Linked DNA regions of Kluyveromyces lactis. The protein of the gene in region 6 binds, or shares a complex with, the protein of the main gene of each other region. Links are inferred from orthologs where the notes say so. Each region holds a gene or a part of one and is shown on either strand. Other genes may lie near its edges.

Region 1 (2,823 bases), on a different chromosome or scaffold from region 6:
TAATGCACCATTGATTCTAATGATGCGGGATCAATACGCGAACTACGTTGTTCAAAAGCTCGTGGGTGTCGCAACTGGTGAAGATGAGAGGTTGATTGTTATTTCCATCAGATCCTATTTGGATAAATCCAATAAAAATAACACTTTGGGTAACAGGCATTTGGCTAGTGTTGAAAAGTTAGCAACTTTGGTGGAAAAAATTCAGATATAGATGTATGTCAGCCTCAACTTGGGAAAGCAAGACAAAAAAAATTGTTCTGCCTCGAATATTTGCATTTGATAACCACGCTTTCTTTCCCTAATAACTGGTTCACTTTCTAAATCATTCTATTGATGAAGATTGCCATTTCTTACGTTTTGTATCCCCGTGATATCTCTCACGAAGATCTTAATATCTTCTAAAATCTGTTGTTGAGAACAGATTACTACCTAATAAATTAATATCCTTTAAATGTACATATTGTTTATCATCATCCTGTTTATAATACATGCAAATATTTATCTCTGCTATAAGTTTTAATGACCATAATATTATAGTACTTCTAGAATCCTAATGGTGATATCGTTCAGATGAAATCAACCCGTTAATGCAAAATGTGTCATATGCGTTACCTGACCAAAGTGAACGCTAACGTCCAAGTCATGACAAACCCAGCTAGCTCGCGGAATAGATTTTTAACCCATATTTTATGCACTGGATTAGTAAAATATAGACTAGGCTTGAATTTGCAAAACCACGCTATAAATATGAGGTTCACCAGGATATAAACAGCAAAAAACATTCCAAAACCTGCAAAAGATTGAAGTTGCAATATCCCAGCACTAAGTCCTGCTGTCAGCATTGTAGAATCCTGTATCCGTAGTAGTTTGTTGTTGTTGAAACTTCCACTTTTGGAAGACTTTAGGTCGGTGAAGCGATAACTCATTTTCCAATGCTGTTATCTCGTAGTTATGATTGCAATTGGTTGCAATAAGCCAAGACTAGAATAAAAGTGATTTATTATGATAAATGCAGCACTTAAGGATCAATCGAATCGCAGATTGAAAAGCTCTGTTTCTAACGGTGGTTCTATTCATTTAATTGAAGATGGAGATCTGTTATTGTCGGTTTGATGCTGATGTAATTGTTACCCGCCTTAAAGAGTCGAACCTTTTCTTTCACGAAACTTGAGAAACGTTTGACAAACTCATCGCAGCTCATCGCATCAACCATATCTACGTTGGCAGTTGGTGTAACTAGGTATTGTTCACCAGCTAATCAACTATAACTTTCATTGTTCAATAAAACATCTTTGTTCGAAATATCTGCGTTTACTTGATACGATAAAGAGGGAAGATGTCCACGGAATTAGAAGAATTAGTGTCATTTTTGCATTCAGACCAGCCTGCCGTCAGACAGATTGCTCTTGATAATCTGGTTGGCTTCTCAACTGGAGCAAGTGCTGTCATTTTCAAATGTAATAATTACAAAGCTATAGAGGATCTAAAAGTTCTAGCTAAAGATAAGTCAAAAGTTATCGTTCAACAATCCACTACGATTTTAGCGAATTTATGTGATGATGTTACTATGAGAAAGTTGATCGTCAAGGATACTGAATTCCTACAGTACTTATCGTGGAAAATCTGTGATTTAGCTAACGCAAGTGCGGATATCATGTGTATTTTATTGTCTAATCTCGCCAAGGAAGACAATATTACCGAATTGTTTTCGTTTGTTAAGAAGGAAGACGATGGTATTCCATTAAACATAGAAGTCTTTAAAAGCAACAAAGTAATGGATTGCTTAATGGATTGTTTTGTGAAGGGTTACGATAGAAAGTTGAACAGATATGCCACTTATGACTACTTAGCTTATTTCTTTGCCGACATTTCGAGATTTAAGATTGGTAGAGAGTATTTCATTGAACAGCAGGAGTATGACGGCGTCATCCCAATTTCTAAACTATTGGTATTCACTGAAAAGTATGATGCTAAAACCAGAAGAGAAGGTGTGGCTTATACCATCAAGAATTCGTTATTTGATTCCGAAAAGCATGAAAACCTTTTGACTAATGAGGAAATCAATCTTTTACCTTATATTCTTCTACCGATTGCATCAGCTAAAGACTCCGAAATTGATGAAGAAGATATGTTCAATCTACCGGATGAATTGCAACTCTTACCTGCCGACAAAGAGAGAGATCCTATTCCTGAAATCATATGTGTGCATTTAGAAAGTATTTTATTGCTTTGTACCACTAAAGCCGGCAGAGAATACTTAAGATCGAAATCAGTATACCCATTGGTCAGAGAGTTACATAAAAATATTGGAAATGACGATATCGGTGAATTATCTCATAGAATTGTTAACATGTTGATGAGAGGTGAGCCGGAGAATCAAGTGATAGAAGAAATCGTGGCCAAATCTGCGGAAGATGGCGAAATAGCCGAGATAGAAGAAGAAGAAGAAGAAGAAGAGTCCGACGATGATGACGATGCTATCGTCGAAGTTTTATAAATGATAACTTCCTATAGATATCTTGTTTTCAAATAACATATATTTATTTTAAGCGTACTTATTGTTAATAAACTGACTATATCAATATGCTATTTCCTGCCCCTTCCAATTGGACCCAGGTGATATATATCAATTATCACTACATGTATATCTCCAGAGGTTTGAAAACGAGGAAATTATGTTAACTACTTACTCAATTCGAGGAATTTACCGTTCAGTTTAACAAGTTTCTTGACAAAAACCTTCATTCTTTCTTTATTGTCAGGATGTCTACCGACCTTTTCTTTCAATTGTCTGATTAATTGTTTCAAAGTCAACTGCTTGCC
Region 2 (3,006 bases), on a different chromosome or scaffold from region 6:
TGATTTCTCGGGTACTGTAATCTTCGGACTTGGTTATTACTTTATCTGAGACTTTTTGATTAGTATATATCAACGTTCTTAACTCTTTAACATATAGGTACCCCTTTTCGTCTCGTATAGTTCTCTTCAACCCTACGAAATGGTCTTTGTTCAGTTCTTTGATGAATTTAAGTTCTTCTTGACAATTGTACCAGCCATCTGTCAGTGATTTCTTGAACTCAATTGATCCCTGAACCCACATGCGACGCCGAAAGGGCACTTCACGTTTCAATATAGCACCAGGAGTCTGGTACGAGTAGTATCCGTCTTCGCTGAGGGCAGCTGTTACTGGATGGAAGAACAATAAATGTGAACCTGAAAGCGATATATCGTTTGATACTTTTGCTTTTGGCAAGATAGATGTAACCAAAGTCTGATACCTCTGTACCGTCACCGGATTGATGTAATCACTGATATGCCACTGCATTGCCGCGAAAACTAACAGCTATGTGGATATGGTTGGCTTTTAAGGATTCCCTTTTTTTTCTATACTGTTTGATGTGAGGTTTACGATTGAATGCCCAACAGTTTTAAATTCATTCATTACTTGTTTATGACGATATACAGGTAAATAAATTAAATAAGATGTGAAGTGGGATACAGTTCTATCGAGTTGGTAGTAAACACTACTGTGCATGATATCGTGAAGCTGATTGGCAGTCTAATTGACTGGAAAGTCAAGTGCAAAGTGAATTATCGTAACAGCAACTACAGTGTTACAGTGCAAATGAGAAAAGCATGATCGATTGTTGATAAGAAGTGAGTAATGGAGTTGCTTAGTTTCGATCCTTTTAAAAAGCCAACATTGGTAAATCTTTCACTTCAGTCTTTCCATCGAGCACTCAATTAATAAACTCAAGGCAAATTGCTCATCAAAATAATCCATGTCACTAATTGTAATACATTTCGTATTCGTAGAGTTAATTGAATGTTTCAACCACTCCTATCCTATCCAAGCAATAAAAGTCAGTCGTCTGGTCATTTCTTTGTCTTCTTGAACGTATATATACGTAGCAAGATGGTAAAACATGAAATTATTTCTGTGATCCACTGGATAAAAAGACATAGGCGAGTAGCCCTATGACAACGTACTTCCAGTTTTTCTGAAGAAACGTTTTGTTCTCTACAACATCTTCTTCAAATGCAGCGGTCCCTGTATCCTTTCTCTGAGCTTTTTTCTTTGCCTCGTAAGTCAGAGTTCTTTTCTTCAACTTGATACTTTCCGGTATGGGACCATTTCCAACCTCCTTTATCAGTGGTACGATGCCATCAATACTATCATCTGCATGAATCGACATACGAACTAGTTTATCATCAAGTACCACCAGCTCCAGTTCGTATGACAATGGTTGCTTTATATGGATGAAAGAGAAACACTCATCGTAATAATCTTGAAAAGTCCCACAAACTTTATATTCACCGTCTGTAATTCGATTGGCTGTCACAGCCAGGTTAATACCTACCTCATCACCAGCTTCGAAAGTTGCCAGGCTGTACCTTTCATTCAAATTGTTCAATAAGTAAAGATCACCAGTACCTTGTAGAGATGCCACTACCGCACGCAAGTGAAACAGAAGTATTAGTAACAATTGAATCATTTTTAGCATAGCTAATTATTTGAAGATAAATCCAACCAGTTTTCCGCTGTGTTATATGATGGAAACACCAGTCTATGCTGTGAGATTCATCCTTTTTATTATTACATTTATTCAGTTTAAGGTTTAAAATTGGATTAATTCGATTAATTGGATTCTTATATTACAAACGTTTAAGTTTACTTAGTGGAAAGTACAAAAATGATATACGGAGCTATTATTTGTTGGCGCATTGTTGTCAATTCGTCAGAGGTTGATTGTAGCTAGTGTATCTGCCGCCTTATATGATATTTTTACCAGTTACGTCGGTGGTGTTTGCTATCTCATGGATTTATTCAGGTGTCTCAGCATTCAATCCATATAGCTCTACGCCTTATTCGCTAAAATACGTTGATGAGCAAGAGTTCCTAAGTGTAATAGATAATGAGACATTGCTCCAAGAAGGACGGCTTTTCCGCCCCTACGAAGGGTCCGATGTTTTGTGTTACCAAAGGAACACTTCGTCGTTGATTCAACATCATGAAGAAGATACTTTTAATTCTGAAGGAGCTCTCATTGAAGCAGTTAACATGGTTAATGCGATCTTGGCTCCAAACCCTATTGAAATGAATACAGTGCCTATTTCTTACTGGACTTATATTATATCCTCTGGTGAGACGAGGACTGTTGTGCAAAAAGGTTATTTTGGCGAAACGTACCTTTTAGGGAACTCATCTAACTACAACTCAACTATTGATTATCACTTTGCTAAGAGTAAAACTGGTAGAGTGTATCTTAGCGAAACTTTGGTAGATGGTTGCACTTGTGATCTTACACATAAACCAAGAGAGGTAGAAATACAATACATCTGCCCTAAACGTCCACTATCGAGGCCTTTCCATCTTGAAGTTAGAGAAATACAATCCTGCAAGTACCAATTGAGACTGTTTCTACCACAGTTATGTGAACTTAGCTCATTCAATCCGTTGCTTGGTCAATTATCTGAACACAACATAATATGCCATAGAAGCGGCAGCAAATTGAGTCCTGCCCTTGATATATTCAACAGGTATTCGGCTACTGTACTTGATCATGGCATATACCTATTAAAACCTAAAAATAGTGCGAAGGATAGGCGTCAATTGATGTATCACGCTGCTGAACCACTGGATTCTCAAACTACCCTCTTTGAGCTCACAGTAGAAGAAAGGTTTATTGGAGACTTCATATCTAGTCTTAAGAAATTGATTGGTTCGGACTTTATACAATCACCCACCGGGAAATCGATCAAACCTGGTGATCTATTTCTATGGAGAGCGCCTGTAGTAGATGAAACGGGAAATCTGCTATTTTTAATTGACTTGGAATTGAATTCAGCCTCGGAAGCGATTGG
Region 3 (2,998 bases), on a different chromosome or scaffold from region 6:
TCCGAAAGTTGCGTTCAACAAAGGATCCATTTCATTTCCACGTAAGCGGGCTTTCACAAACGATTTCATGGCTGGATGTTTTGCAAAACTTTGTTTGTTCACTATTGAATTCTCAATGAGACATAATACTATATGCAAAGCGATAATGTAGCTCAATTCCGATGACTGATGAGATAAAAGCTTCTCCCACTTCGATGTGTCATCATATACAAAATTCAATTCCGTTGGCTCGATGTTATTAAACCTCTGGCTTATTTCAAACGTTGTGTATGTATATAGCTCATCTTTAGAGGCTGTATTTTCGTAAGAATTGCAAATATCACATAAAATAGATATCAGATCAGAATCATCCTCTGGAACCAAGTTAAGCACCTGAGCTAATAATGTAACGTACTCCTGGATCATTATATTACAAACGTCATTCCCTAGTATAATATTTTCTTAGCAGAAATTCAACTAATCTATAAGTGAGTGAACGTATTTTGGGTTTTTTTCGCCCTTACTATGATAAGTGTTTGTTCGTTTGTTTCTCAAGCTGTTTCCCTAATTTCTTAGCTGTTTATTTTTTTCATAGATAAAGTACAAAAACTAGGAAAGTGTGCAAAAGATGAATAAGATTTGCAAGATATTCGTAACTTATACAAGTGTAATACATACACCATTCAACGAAAAAGCTATTTTGAAACATATTTTGCGTTCTCTCTATGCATCTTCTCTTGTCTCATAGCTTTAGCAGTCTCAGGATCGAACTTCTCCAACAAAATAGGGAACAAAACTAAAAATATCACTGTCACGACGCCTGCTAGCTTGAATTTTGATCTTAAAACACTGGCAATGGGACCACTCTCGAGGATTCCAGGATTTCTTATCTTTATATATTTTCTGTATGGTTGTTTGTTCATCGTTGTTATTGTTAAACGGTTTGCAGAATCCAAGGGTAATGGATTCAAAGTTTCGGGATATGTAATATCTGGAGATGGGAAATACTCTCTGCCAAATCTGTTCTCAAAGGCGCTGAGGTTAGGTTCCTGATCTTGCCCGTTACCTACAATTTGTATCAGTATTCTGTTGGGTTTCAAATTGAATTCATTGGAATGCGAATGTAATGTGAAGTATGTCGTCCTATTGATACCAGTGTCAATGGGAACATCGCTGAAGGTGAATTCACCATTGATATTCTCCAATTTTGATGACTGTGAATATGAATCCCATTCCGAGTCATCATTGGGATTCCGTATCCTGTACAGGTTAAAATAGGTTCTCGATATATCATGTCTCGAAACGTTCCTAACTTTCAAATCTAGTCTGCCCTTAATATCGAATGCAGCACCTGGGTTTACGAACTGCCAAACTAGAAAGCAAAAAAGTACAAAATTCATCCCCGATTCTTTGGAGGAGTAAACTAATTGCCATACGTTAGTTCAGTCTCAGAGTATAGTGTTTTTACCGTTATCATTAACTTCTTTATGCGTCTTAGTTACCATTCGAGATTCATTTCCAGAAGAAAGAATAGTTACTAATATTATTACCCGGATTTATCTGACTTTTGAACTTTTTCATTTTGTTCGTTCAAGAAAATTTAGTATAAAAGATGAGAATAAGATGCATTATTATAAACAATACTATACAGTAAGTTGAGATACGTCCGTTTTGATCAGGTCATAAGAAAGCGTACATTCCTCAGAACAGGTATTATTGTAGTGGATTTGTGACTCTCCAGACAATATCTTCTCTACAACCTGGTTCGAGATTAAAGCTTTCAGTTTGAAAATGGCTGTCAATGTTTAATGGAGTGATCTATACTGCGAAAGATGTTTCCAACATTGTTCGTCTAGGACCAATTACTCATATGCATACAGCCCGACATCTCATTCCCTCCTTATCCATCTAGTAAACGTTCAATAGATGATATATACAGAAACTTGCGCCGTATAGTTTTCTCTTTCTCTCTTGTTGACATAGGTTCGCCAATCTAACAACCGTGGAGTTCTACAGTAATTTCGGGACTGTCTAATTTCTGAAACACCCAGACATTGTTGAAGAGGGATGGCTTTCATTACTTTTCGAATTTCATTTATGTTAAGAATTTCCTAATTTGTCAAGATAGAATGTGGAAAATGAATGGCAGACACATTTTTGCCAGATCGTAGGTTTCAATATCCAAAGGTCAGCTTCAATTTTTCATAGTAACAAATTGTCAATGATTTTAATGAATTTATCATTTATTACATGTATAAGCTTGGATATATCAACATTAACTTTATTATTGTTTAAGCTTAGACCTCAGAGACCAGAAAAACATATCAAGAATGGCTAACGGTACGTGCGAGGGGTGGTATCCCGTTTAAAACCCTTTAGTTGTTCTTCAAGAAAGGATGGATAAAAACCATTGGAAAAAGTATGGATTACTCTGATAAGTGTATTCGTGTGTGATTTTGCGGAGTCGTGTCGATGTTAGTTATCTGTAATGGATTGTAACGTTAACACTTTCTTCAATCTCAATAGTGCTATCTCAAACAGTATTTTAGTGATGATGCAACGACAAGAAGGAGGAAGTACCCAAGTTGAGTAGGTGTTTCACCACAGAATCTCAGGTATTTTTCCTTACAGTCAAAGCAGGAAGCTTACGTTTGTAAAAGTGCTTGCACGACTCTTTCAGCCTGTAACAGAATCAGATAAATATCCGGATAATTCGATGATAATGAGGACATTATCACAAATGGGATTGATATGGAGCACTGAATAAAGGAGATATTTCTCTAACATCAAGTGTTCTATTACCTGCTCACTGGAGTCTGGGGATCAAAGCTCCCGTTCTAGCTATTTTAGAAGCTCACTGATCAAAGCGGATATACGAACACCACACATGACTTATATGGCAGATATGCATTCATTCTTAAAGAAGACTAAAGGAAGGGAAATTTCAACATTTGGAAGAAGTGAAATGAGAAATACAACTGATATATGACATGTCACTCTTATCCTTCATTCTCAAAAT
Region 4 (3,213 bases), on a different chromosome or scaffold from region 6:
ATCATAAGCACACTCATACACACCCACATAGATCGAATAATCCGAATAATCCAAATTGTGGCCATTGCGGTACAGTCATTGTTCCATCCCCTGTAGCCACAATACCAGCGAAAGATGACCCATCTGTAAGTGTAGGTGATTGGACTATCACCACGACGAAGAGGCCTATTCTTTCTAGTGATGAGATCGACGATTGGACTGAGAAATTGAAGTTCCCAATCCCAGAAATGATTTTTGGTCATTCCAGCGTTGAATTGAAGAACACCAAGACTCATTGGTGCATACGATTCAATCCGTTCCATGCACTTAGTCAAGTAAAACTTGGGGATTCTGGGTTAAGAGTGTCATATTCCGAGAAATGGATCAATTCCAAACTTAAGAATAGTCAAGTGACAAACACAGAGGAAGGATTACAATTCGGAAAACATTGGGATTGGTCCTATACGACTTTATACAATGGGACTGTGTCAGAAGATAGTGAATACAAGTTTGTTGTGGATAACCAGTATCAGCTTCCAATAGAAAAATTAACAAGAAGAGATCCCATTTTATTCTATGATGATTTCATTCTATTTGAAGATGAATTGGCAGACAACGGTATCAGTATGCTTTCGATAAAACTTAGGGTAATGGCAGAGAGACTTCTTTTATTATGCAGATTCTTCCTAAGAGTCGATGAGGTCTTGTTTAAAATCATTGATACAAGAATATATGTCGAATTCAATGAGGACCTTGTTGTACGGGAATGGAAATATATGGAGGATGATTACAAGACAGTATTGAATAAATGTAGATTAAATTCAAACGATCCTAAGAAATCTTTGAGAGACAGCAACTGGGTTGCGTCTGTATTACCTTTGAAGGAGCGCGTATGTGAAGTATTGAGGAAAAAAGAAGATATAGAAGAAGTTGTCGAATAAGCACTCACCGCTACTGTCGAATTGACAGCACTTTTGGAAAATTCAAGAAAGAGTTGATTTGCTCATTCATGAATCTACCTATTTAATTATGTTACCCAAAAGGAATAATATACAAATCTCGTAATACATGTGATAATATTATATACACACTATTCAAGTTTCTGAATCCAAAAGGTATCTGGATACGTTAGTGATTTCTCTGTTATCATTATTTTGCTGAAGTTCTTGCAATTTTCTTACAGCTAATTGAGTTAATTCAGGTTTTTTATTCAGTTTCTGAGATGTCTTCAATACAATACCCCAACCTTTCACGTAGGCTTCTGCCAACTCAACAGATCTCAACGCATTTGATAAACTTGATTGCAAAGCAGCTTCAGGGTCAGAATCTGATTGAGACTTCAAGTAATGCAAATAAGCTAATTGACCAAATGCTTCATAACTGAACGGCACCCCAATTATGACTTCTTCCATGCAATATATTGCTTGACGTAGGTCCCCAGCCTCCTGGTATTCTTGCGAAAGTAACGACCATATTTCTGCATCTAGAGGAAACTTCTCAACCAGATCCAGTAGTTCTTTTACCCATTTTTCTTTACTCATCGAAGGTCTCTCTATCGCAAGTAGCCTTTTCTTCATCTGTACGTAGTCTTCTGAATCAGTAGCTATTTCCAGCTGATTCTTGATCAAATCCTCGATATATTTCTTAGCCGCATCATCGGATCGAGTGACCTGTATTAACATAGAGTGCATCACATGAATTCTTGGAGAATCGTCACCTAGACGATCTGTCACAGTTTTGTACAATGTTTCAGCCTCTGTGTCTTCACCACGAACAAGACAAAGATAAAACAATAATTCGACCATTGAGAAATAACTAATTTCGTCAAGCCCATTTAACCCAGCATCTATCAAAAGTTTCGTTTCCTTATAAGCCAAATCAATTTCTTTAGGTGGCAGAATGGCCCATGCGCCAGTCTTATGGATTGCCAGTAATTTGTTCTTAAGTAAATCCATGATATGAACAAAGTTAGATTTCGACCCTAAGATGTATGTGAGATTCGAGCACAATTTCAACACAGTAAATTACTCACTAAATTCCACGAGCAGTAATTGTATTGAAGGTATTCAAACATTTAACACCACCATACGTATCTCACCCATGTTATACCCTGTAATATGTCTCTTACAGAACCGATGCTTAAACAATCACAGAGCCAAATGAATCGTTGGAGCTAAAGCACGTGACACATGCTCCGTTTCGACATGTATTTTCATATCACCATAAACGACGAAAATTTTTCAGGAATCAAGGCCTCAGTATCTGATTGCCACACGCGAAGAGTTGAAGTTGAACTTCTAAGAGATGAGATGAACTTCTTCCATATACATGATTCAAGAAGGCGTTAATGACCCCGTTTTACAGTCCAATACAGGATCAGTTCGAACTTACTTTTAAAAGTTTTTGTGTTTTCCAGACTTGAAGAACGTCAAAGACACGGTGGTAGCAGAAACAAGTGACTAGAGATTAGTAACAGTAGCCGAAGATGTCAATCAATATTTGCAGAGACAACAATGACCCTTTCTACCGTTATAAAATGCCTCCAATTCAGGCTAAGATTGAAGGTAGAGGTAATGGTATCAAAACTGTTGTTATGAATACCATGGATGTTGCCCGTGCTTTAAACAGACCAGCTCCATACATCATCAAATATTTCGGGTTTGAATTGGGTGCCCAAACTGCTATCAATGTTGAAAATGATCGTTACATTGTCAATGGTGCTCATCAACCAGCCAAATTACAGGACGTATTGGATGGTTTCATCACTAAGTTTGTCCTTTGTGGATCCTGTAAGAATCCTGAAACTGAAATTGTTATCACTAAAGATGGTGATTTGGTTAGAGACTGTAAAGCTTGTGGTAAGAGAACCCCTATGGATTTGAGACATAAGTTGTCCTCGTTCGTCTTAAAGAACCCTCCTGACAGTATGAACGGTTCCAAGAAAAAGAAGAAGGCTGCCACTGCGTCTGCTAATGTCAGAGGTGGTGGTCTTTCTATTAGTGATATCGCTCAAGGTAAATCCCAAGCTGAAGCTGGTGACGATGCCGAAGAAAACGATTCCGATGATGATGAATTGGCCAGACAAATTAATGCCGCTGCCTCTAACTTGGCTACCATTGAAGTCAAGGATGAGGACTGGGCCGTTGATATGTCTGAAGAAGCCATCAGAGCTCGTGCGAAAGAATTACAAGGTGAAGCTGACAAAGAAACTGGCGAATTCTCCAAGTTGGAAGA
Region 5 (2,937 bases), on a different chromosome or scaffold from region 6:
TTCTTTAAGTGATTTGGTAAAATGTTGTATCGAGTAAGAGATCTTAGAGTTGCATGTGCGTCATATTGTGTTAGATACGTTCATTTGTAATAGTATGTGAAGGTTTTGCTTTTCCTTTCGCATCATATTTCATCAACCGAATTTAATAACACAAAAGCAGTCAAGTTTCTTAAGATGTCAATTTATATAGCATAACGTAGAATTATAACATAGAATCGGCATAAATACCAACCATTATGCTAAGGCGTGATCCTACAGTTTTATCCTTGACTTCCGATGATATTTCCGAGCTACAAGAACATTTAGAAGAGTACAAGCTCCAACGCGAGATACAGACGCAACATCAAGATCTTTTGAAATCATCTGCAAAAATGAGTAGATTAGCAGAGATAGAAGGCATTTCTAACCCAAGTGCGACACGGAATGATATTTTATCACACTCATTGCATAAGATGACGCCACCTCAGCGATATAAACAGTCTGCATCATCAGATCCTCGATTCATTGAACAAAATAGTACACAGAGTACACAGGATCCTCCAAATCCCTTTTACACGTACAATCACAATGATAACTGACGTCCTAATGTGATTGGTGAAGTGCCTATATTGGCTATCGGCCCTGTATCTACTCCCGTTAGTTATTATTGCAAAGTCATTATATTATGTAATTCCCCAGTACATATTATATATATGTATGCGTTTAAGTTACCAATCTTTATCAACTCACAAACTGCGATGAAGGTATTCTTTGAACAGTTTCCTCTTAGCATGGATGTCAACAAATGAAGGAAGGTAGTTTATTTCCCCATAAGGATCATTGTTTATCACTACATCTGTACTGGACGCCTTGTTCAATTCGATAGGTTTAAGATACTCATCTGTCTCAATTATTCGTTCCTCCCCACGAATACTAAGGTACTTAAGCTTGGATTGACTGATAAATGTACCCAAAATAAAGAATAATAACCCGCATAGTGCCTCCAATTTTACGTCATCTGGTAAACCTGGAGTTTTAGCGTCTGGGTTCTCTAGAATGATATGTTTCACAATCTGATGAAATTCATAGCTGGACACACCAGAATGAATAATCTGTATCCACGCTATAAAGTAGAATGATTTGGAAAGTATTGACATTGTTGATTCCAAGATAAAACGGTGAATAGTAGTATTTAAGTAAAGTAACAAAGCCTATTTATGTTAGATCTGTCCAGTTGAACCTTATACTACCTATATTTTGTTTGGTATTCTTGAATAACCTTTCCGTTTTTTTTTTTTTCTGAGTGTTATAGAGTTTCCGACAAGAGAAACTATCTAGGTAAAAAAGAGAGATAGCATGCAGTACTGACACACAGCCGCATGATTGAGGAGAGCTTAGGTTATCGATAGCCATGTAATAGGTTTTATGTATTATGTTTAACACAATTCACCAAAAAAAAAAATAAACTGATTTAAATGCACTCGCAGGAATTTCATTTCGTAGGATCCCCAATAAGATTAGATTGGTGATGAAACAATGGGGTCTGCAGGGTGCGGAGGCGAATGAACTGTTTCATCCTGAGTGAATTCCTCAATTGGTTCAAGAACTTCATCATATTGTTGGGGTACTGGTTCTTGGTTTAATTTGGCTGCAGGATGGCTCTCAGCGTTATTTTTCGGTTCATCTTCGAAAACCGTTTCGCTTACTACACTCTCAAATAATGGCCCTAATTTCTCTTGGTTTAACCCAATTCTTGTAGTTAAATCGCTATAGTTTAGAATTCCAAGTTTGATGAGGCCTTTCAATTTAATGGTATAGATACAAAGCTCCTTCTCTGGATCTCCATCAACATCGACTAAGTTGACAGCGCCATAATTTACATCTTCATCAGCCACTCGATCTAGAGTTATTCCCAAAAATTTTCCAAGACAACTCTCAAGGTAGAGGAAAACTTTGTGGCAAATACCAGTTAGATCTTCGTTAGAGATAACTGAATATTCTTGCCTTAACGCCCTTATCCAATCGGAATCCTTTTCTGACAAATCGAGCTCAAACATTTTGAATGCAATGATAATATCTAACAATGGAGAGAGTATTACATGAAGCACATGGAATTTCTTGTCGTGTTGTATTTCAGGGTTAGAATCGATCTTTGAAGAAAGATTCAGCAATTCGACTAATACCGTTCTAATTTGATTCAGCGTAGTATGTGAAACAGCTATAGGTTCTTCATTATTTTTGATAACATCTCTCCAAGTTGCTAAATTCCAAGTAACTATTGAGGTGAAAAGCTTAAAATCTAGGACAGATATGGCATCCGAATCAATCTTTGGTAGTAATTCACTCAACGGCTTCAAGAATTTTTCAACAATGTCATCCAAAAGCGTTTCTGAAATTTCAATTGCGAACTCCTTACCCAAAATTACAAGTTTGTTAACATATTGCAGATATAATGTTGTTATTGAATTATCAGATTTTATGTCAAATGATTCCATAAACTTCTTGAATGATAATGTCACGTTAATCAGACATGACTTCCAATAACCAGTTACCTCTGGTATTTGAAGGGATGCCAAATATGGAATTAAACTCTTATAGGTTTTAGTAATGGCATTTGCGTTGCTCAAAACCACTGGAGAGCTTTCAAATCGTTTTGTTATTGTTTTATTGATATTAAAAATGACATCCTTTGATTCACTGGAATTCCATTCTTCTGTGTTTAATAGCTGTATTACATTTAGTAGTTGAGTATATATCTGATCAGAATCAAGATTCATTTTCTTGAAAAGATCTTCTAACTCTGGAAGAATTAACTGTGTCACGGCTTGTCTGTCCTGGCCTTTGTTGTACTGTATGCCGCCTGTGCATAAGCCGCCCAACACAGTGGCATAAAATAGGACATTGTTATCAGTTTCTGGTAGGAACAATTTGATATCACCCAGATCATTGGAAAAATCA
Region 6 (4,504 bases):
GCTTTGAAACATAGACGATATATCTAATAGGAGTAAATGGTACCAGTCATAGGATTCTTACATCCGTTACTATAACTCATCGTCAACAGCTTCTCTTTGAATATCAACAAGTTCGGTTTCGAAAATTAAGTCTGCATCTGGTGGGATTACGCTTCCAGCACCACGAGAACCGTACCCTAATTCACTTGGAATATGTAAGGTACGGCCCTCACCGATGCACATTCCTAAAATACCTTGATCCCATCCACTAATAACTTGACTGTAACCCAACTTAAATTGAATTGGTACTCCCCTATTATACGATGAGTCAAAAATCTCACCAGAGTCCCTCAATTTACCAGTGTAGTGCACAGAGACAACATCACCCTTAGATGCCTTGATCTTACAATCAACAGGCTCCTTGGTCACTCCAACAACTAATTCGGTCAACTTTTCTGCAAAAACTTGCAATACAAAGAACAATAAAACAGAAAGGCCAGTAGTGAACTTCATTTCGAAAGTTTAGTCAATTATAGTGATCTATTTGATGTAGAACTTTTAGAAAATCGAAGCTCATGGCTTCTTTCCCAACCCAAGACTGATCTATTGTTATAATTGGATCAAGAAGTACATTCACTTTTCTATTTAGATATAAAAATAATATGTGAGATTAGCCATTCAATAAAAAGATTAATTGAAAATAGGGTCTGCCTTTAACTTTTGAAGGTGACAAACAAAAGATTAAATACATATAAAATGCGATGCAAATGCAACTTTCAGATATTTTAGAATTATACATGTATTCAAATAGATGTAATATCAAGGTCTTTGACCAACCATTTCACTTTCAACTTGCGCTGGTCCACCATGGGTCTGAGGATGTAGCATAAGATGAATAAGCCCATAATGGTGAAAAGAACCTTACTCTTTTCAAAGCTTGCTCCAAGTTTGTCAAACTGAGAAGATGGTGAAACCCTTGTGCAGAAGATGTCATTACCGATGGAGCATATTATACTAGTGGATTCCAAGTTCGTCGGAACTGATATTAATTTCGATTTATCTGAAGGAAGAATCTGTCTAAGATGACTAACCACTGAAAAATCATTAATTGGTATGGTGGGTTCATAAACAGAAGCCATGAATTCCTCTTTGTCTTTCTTTGTCATATCAGACTCTGGTTTTCTTCTTGCGTTGACAACATATTTGGGGAGATATGTAATGGACCCATCATCTAATTGTAAAAGTATAGCTTTCGTAGTAATTCCAAATTTAGTTTTGGATAATGCAAGTGAATGTATGATCTGAGGGAAGTAATATGCGTTGCTAATCGTTGCCGGTTTCACAATATCGTCTAGCGGGTTCACTAAGCTCCCTGGAAGGGATCTCCTTTCATCAGGAACCAGCGATTCGTAAAACTCAACGACTACAAGCTTTTGTTCCGGTATTGGAGCTGAACTGAAATAACTGTATATGCACCAGTGTTCTCCTATCACAAGGTTTACTGGCAAGGTTAAGTCCACAAACTCCTCATGCTTAACAGTGTAAAGAGTCTGGCCAGTAACCGTGTCAAATATTTCTAGTAACAAGGAATTCTCTACAGAATTGCCCATCAAATAGCCTCCAATATTAGGATTGAGGTACTTGTATAATACAGTTCTGTTTCCTAGGATTGCACCTAAACCTGGAACGTGGCCTTTATCTCTGACAGCATGACCAACAATACGTTCATTCCCCCCTACGTTTCTCTGATAGGTCGGTAAGAGGGCATCCCCCTGAAGGGCATACCCTGTTACTTTCTGCTCTTCAAAATGGACGAAACTAATATTAGTATTTCCAATGTGGGAAGCGTTGAATATCTTGAAAGAACTGTTTTTGACATTAACTAGTTTGATAATAGGTGATTCACTGTTCGCATCAAATTGAAAACCGTCGGGAGCCTTATTTTCGGGTGTCAATCCGAGCGGTTGCTCTAAGAGATTAACAGAATAAATACTAGAACGCGTAACAATCGAAAGCTCGTTTTCACTCCTCAGGCGCAATTTCAAAATGTCCTTCAAATTTGACTGCAGACTCCACAATTTCTTTCCAGAGATGATGTCCAGAGATGTTATAATTCCTGACTTAGAAGCGACGACAAGCTGCTTTGCAAAACCAAATCGTACGTTTAGATCTCGCAGTGCTGAAGAATCATCTTCAGTTATCAAATCGGCAAACATTCTGCCCAGATTAAATCTTTTACGGATAAGATACGACTTTAGTCTTTCCCAATTACTTTGAACACGGAACTTATATGCGTCAATTAGGCTCAATTGCTGTTCGTGGAGCAGTTCATCCCTAACAAAGTCTAAATTATGATTTGTTTCATCAAGGACAGTATATGCGATAATATCAGAGTAGCCCTCATTTCTTTCCCAGTGGGCAGTCAGGGAATGATTTTCGTATCTAGTGTAATAATATTCTTTATTAGTTGTAGATATCAATACTTCCGCTACTGTGCTATCACTGCTCAGGCCAAAGTATTCTATCTTTCTGAAGGTCTCTGGAATTTTGACTACCACATCCCCCTCTGAAGAGGAAATATTAAAACGCAGTGTATTGTTATTCAAGGTAACAGATTGAATGTCTAGTTTCCGACATTCAACTTGGCCTGAATGAGTTGACTTAGGGAAACCTGTCAAACTATCCAAAACTTGACCAGTATTCAAGTGTATATTTCCATCCACAACTTTCATGGCAGCAACAGAGGCATCCTGAACGAACCTTTCAACTATATTTCCTGAAGCCGCATCCAAAAGTGAAATTACAGGGATGCCAGTGGGAGTCTCCCCTAAGACCACGAATGACGAGTCTGATTTGTCAATACATTTGATATCACCTAGGTTTTCGATTTGCCAATCCACGTGAAACGCTTCATCATTAAATACAGCCCCTGTGGATTTAAGCAGAAGTACCCACAACGTAAATATAAGGGTTAACATGATTTGATTCCGTTATGGCAAGATCGAAGGTCCAGTGTATAAACTTTAACTAATTCTTTACTTGGACACTAGTTTAGGCTTATTTTATTCGAAGGCTATTGTTGGTTTCTTTGAAATAATAATAATAATCGTAGTAAAAAATGGTTACTACAGTGGGAAATATGTCGTAGCTTTCGTAACACAAACAAGGAAACAAAAAAAAGGCAGTATGAGAGTCTCGATATAGCTATATATCGATTAAATTTGTACAACGATTCTTATATACAGTTTGAAATCATGAATTGAGTCAGTTATTTTTTCTGTTAGTGTAATACAAACGTGTATGATATTCAATTATGGCTTTCTCTCATCTTCGCTATTCTCTATGGAAGTAACATGCTCTGAATCTTTGAGTCTTTTCTGGTGTTCATAATAGTCTTCATTAAAAATGACCGAAGGAAAGAACTTAATGCTTAATGCGGTGTCTAATGCTAAATTTGTCCAAGGATTGTAAATAGCCCATATTTCAGTTAGTGGGATATCATTTGGTGATTCTGTATCATGATGCAAGAGAACTTTTCTAATTGCATATATGTCCTGCACTTCTTGATTTGTTCTGATAGCCCGTGCCGGAGCATGAGCCATCAATGTATGTATTCTCTGTCTATTGCGCTTGTTTTCTTCTTCTAATTTTACCAATTGAGAATTTATCTTATCGTTCTTCTTTTGACGTCTGAGATTGTTGAGAAAATCAGTCATATTCAGGTAGTATTCTAGTTTGTCTAAGAATTCAGAGAATGACTGTGGTTTATAATCCAACGGTCCGAACCATTTAGTTACCAAATTCTCGGCCTGCGCTTGTGCTCTCGCTACGGCGATACTTTGCTTCACCTCTGGTAAGTTAAGGGAAATTGACTGTCCTGATAATTCATCCTTGGCCTTGAATTTCGTTGAATCAACTCCCTCGTGATAGTATTTGACGATGTCATTGAAAAACTGCTTTTCACGAACTGATTTTGCTTCTTCTACCCAGGGATCGTATTTGAGAAGGGTCAATCTTGAAACCTCTAACATAGACTGCGAGAGTATTAGAGTCCCCGCTAATAAATAAGTAACACGTCTAATAGTTCTAAATCTCTCTGAATACCAAAAACCGGTACGTGTACCAACTCGAATATTGAAAGAATGTGTTCCCCCGAATTGAACAGGAATATGTCTAGTCATGTACATATCACCGTGTGTGGTACTGAATCTATTCAAACTAGGAAAATCGGCAATATCTCGTTTCACCCATTTCTTTCCCAATTTTCTAAACCTTTGCATTAGAAATAACCCAAGTCCTGTTTGAATTGCAACTAATGACCACAATCCTGTTGTGTTATCCGAACTAGGCACTAATGGTCCCCATAGTTTCAATCCCAGACTTGGTCTTGTATAAAACTTGGGGTCATTGCCAACAGGCTCAGAATTATCTGACTGAGTTCCGGATGTATATATAGCCATCTACTTCGCAATTCTGTCCTTGCTGCTTGTTCACTTTGTTTGAACCTTTAGTAATCCGATACGTG

The links.
Region 1: EMC1 (region 6) and EMC6 share a complex: the UniProt entries of both Saccharomyces cerevisiae proteins name them as parts of the ER membrane protein complex. The link is inferred for Kluyveromyces lactis from reciprocal best matches to the Saccharomyces cerevisiae genes EMC1 and EMC6.
Region 2: the proteins of EMC1 (region 6) and EMC10 are in contact, whole or in part, in a cryo-EM structure (PDB 6WB9), measured with the Saccharomyces cerevisiae proteins. The link is inferred for Kluyveromyces lactis from reciprocal best matches to the Saccharomyces cerevisiae genes EMC1 and EMC10. Residues at the interface, in NP_009884.1 of Saccharomyces cerevisiae: His425, Phe427, Ile440, Glu442, Lys447, Thr449, Trp450, Lys451, Lys452, Ala453, Asn455, Glu458, Asn499, Glu501, His502, Ile513, Thr514, Gly515, Glu516, Ile517, Leu518, Thr520, Gln521, Glu522, His523, Lys524, Asp525, Pro551, Val552, Val558; in NP_010341.3 of Saccharomyces cerevisiae: Asp28, Glu63, Cys65, Pro77, Cys78, Phe79, Ser80, Tyr81, Met82, Lys83, Tyr90, Asp95, Asp97, Glu98, Asp99, Glu101, Lys103, Gln104, Val105, Ser106, Leu107, Ser108, Tyr109, Glu111, Arg121, Pro123, Glu124, Ala125, Gly126, Pro127.
Region 3: the proteins of EMC1 (region 6) and SOP4 are in contact, whole or in part, in a cryo-EM structure (PDB 6WB9), measured with the Saccharomyces cerevisiae proteins. The link is inferred for Kluyveromyces lactis from reciprocal best matches to the Saccharomyces cerevisiae genes EMC1 and SOP4. Residues at the interface, in NP_009884.1 of Saccharomyces cerevisiae: Val25, Phe26, Ser27, Asp28, Ala30, Phe81, Arg82, Asn83, Asp119, Trp120, Phe121, Leu122, Leu123, Glu125, Gly126, Val127, Glu500, Asp528, Phe529, Arg530, Phe531, Phe547, Ser549, Pro551, Val552, Pro553, Glu554, Ile599, Phe600, Pro601; in NP_012343.1 of Saccharomyces cerevisiae: Phe39, Val40, Ser41, Thr42, Arg43, Lys47, Tyr49, Ile51, Tyr58, Pro59, Thr61, Thr64, Met65, Phe66, Gln67, Asp68, Asp69, Glu74, Asn77, Val91, Tyr93, Ala95, Met97, Asn100, Arg105, Phe127, Gly128, Arg129, Glu130, Tyr131.
Region 4: the proteins of EMC1 (region 6) and EMC2 are in contact, whole or in part, in a cryo-EM structure (PDB 6WB9), measured with the Saccharomyces cerevisiae proteins. The link is inferred for Kluyveromyces lactis from reciprocal best matches to the Saccharomyces cerevisiae genes EMC1 and EMC2. Residues at the interface, in NP_009884.1 of Saccharomyces cerevisiae: Ser749, Asn750, Leu753, Gln756, Trp757, Leu758, Ile759; in NP_012621.1 of Saccharomyces cerevisiae: Glu47, Gly48, Phe51, Phe52, Glu55, Leu77, Arg80, Leu81, Asn84, Ser85, Tyr86, Lys87, Met88, Asp122, Val124, Thr125.
Region 5: the proteins of EMC1 (region 6) and EMC5 are in contact, whole or in part, in a cryo-EM structure (PDB 6WB9), measured with the Saccharomyces cerevisiae proteins. The link is inferred for Kluyveromyces lactis from reciprocal best matches to the Saccharomyces cerevisiae genes EMC1 and EMC5. Residues at the interface, in NP_009884.1 of Saccharomyces cerevisiae: Leu248, Ala251, Tyr252, Arg255, Leu256, Asn259, Arg262, Lys295, Asn693; in NP_012237.1 of Saccharomyces cerevisiae: His18, Ser19, Phe21, Ser22, Glu25, Leu32, Leu35, Lys47, Asp48, Ile49, Tyr51, Glu52.

The regions. Positions count from the first base shown.
Region 1 is NC_006042.1:1,426,511-1,429,333, reverse strand, and holds EMC6 (Emc6p), read right to left. Parts: upstream 927-2,823; coding exon 609-926; downstream 1-608. Other genes in the region: mRNA-binding protein PUF3, read left to right, coding at 1-211; HGH1 (Hgh1p), read left to right, coding at 1,337-2,497; transcription factor IIF subunit TFG1, read right to left, coding at 2,683-2,823. UniProt on the Saccharomyces cerevisiae protein: Part of the endoplasmic reticulum membrane protein complex (EMC) that enables the energy-independent insertion into endoplasmic reticulum membranes of newly synthesized membrane proteins.
Region 2 is NC_006041.1:1,123,033-1,126,038, reverse strand, and holds EMC10 (Emc10p), read right to left. Parts: upstream 1,647-3,006; coding exon 1,074-1,646; downstream 1-1,073. Other genes in the region: hydroxyacyl-thioester dehydratase HTD2, read right to left, coding at 1-466; YOS9 (Yos9p), read left to right, coding at 1,919-3,006. UniProt on the Saccharomyces cerevisiae protein: Part of the endoplasmic reticulum membrane protein complex (EMC) that enables the energy-independent insertion into endoplasmic reticulum membranes of newly synthesized membrane proteins.
Region 3 is NC_006038.1:665,270-668,267, reverse strand, and holds SOP4 (Sop4p), read right to left. Parts: upstream 1,380-2,998; coding exon 675-1,379; downstream 1-674. Other genes in the region: BPH1 (Bph1p), read right to left, coding at 1-405; KLLA0_B07623g (40S ribosomal protein uS11), read left to right, coding at 2,310-2,319. UniProt on the Saccharomyces cerevisiae protein: Involved in the export of PMA1, possibly through the monitoring or assisting of PMA1 folding and acquisition of competence to enter vesicles.
Region 4 is NC_006041.1:553,134-556,346, reverse strand, and holds EMC2 (Emc2p), read right to left. Parts: upstream 1,935-3,213; coding exon 1,074-1,934; downstream 1-1,073. Other genes in the region: TIP41 (Tip41p), read left to right, coding at 1-920; TIF5 (translation initiation factor eIF5), read left to right, coding at 2,465-3,213. UniProt on the Saccharomyces cerevisiae protein: Part of the endoplasmic reticulum membrane protein complex (EMC) that enables the energy-independent insertion into endoplasmic reticulum membranes of newly synthesized membrane proteins.
Region 5 is NC_006042.1:2,570,919-2,573,855, forward strand, and holds EMC5 (Emc5p), read right to left. Parts: upstream 1,137-2,937; coding exon 726-1,136; downstream 1-725. Other genes in the region: anaphase promoting complex subunit CDC26, read left to right, coding at 237-578; cohesin subunit IRR1, read right to left, coding at 1,497-2,937. UniProt on the Saccharomyces cerevisiae protein: Part of the endoplasmic reticulum membrane protein complex (EMC) that enables the energy-independent insertion into endoplasmic reticulum membranes of newly synthesized membrane proteins.
Region 6 is NC_006039.1:78,869-83,372, forward strand, and holds EMC1 (Emc1p), read right to left. Parts: upstream 2,958-4,504; coding exon 783-2,957; downstream 1-782. Other genes in the region: peptidylprolyl isomerase family protein FPR2, read right to left, coding at 70-492; MGR1 (Mgr1p), read right to left, coding at 3,291-4,439. UniProt on the Saccharomyces cerevisiae protein: Part of the endoplasmic reticulum membrane protein complex (EMC) that enables the energy-independent insertion into endoplasmic reticulum membranes of newly synthesized membrane proteins.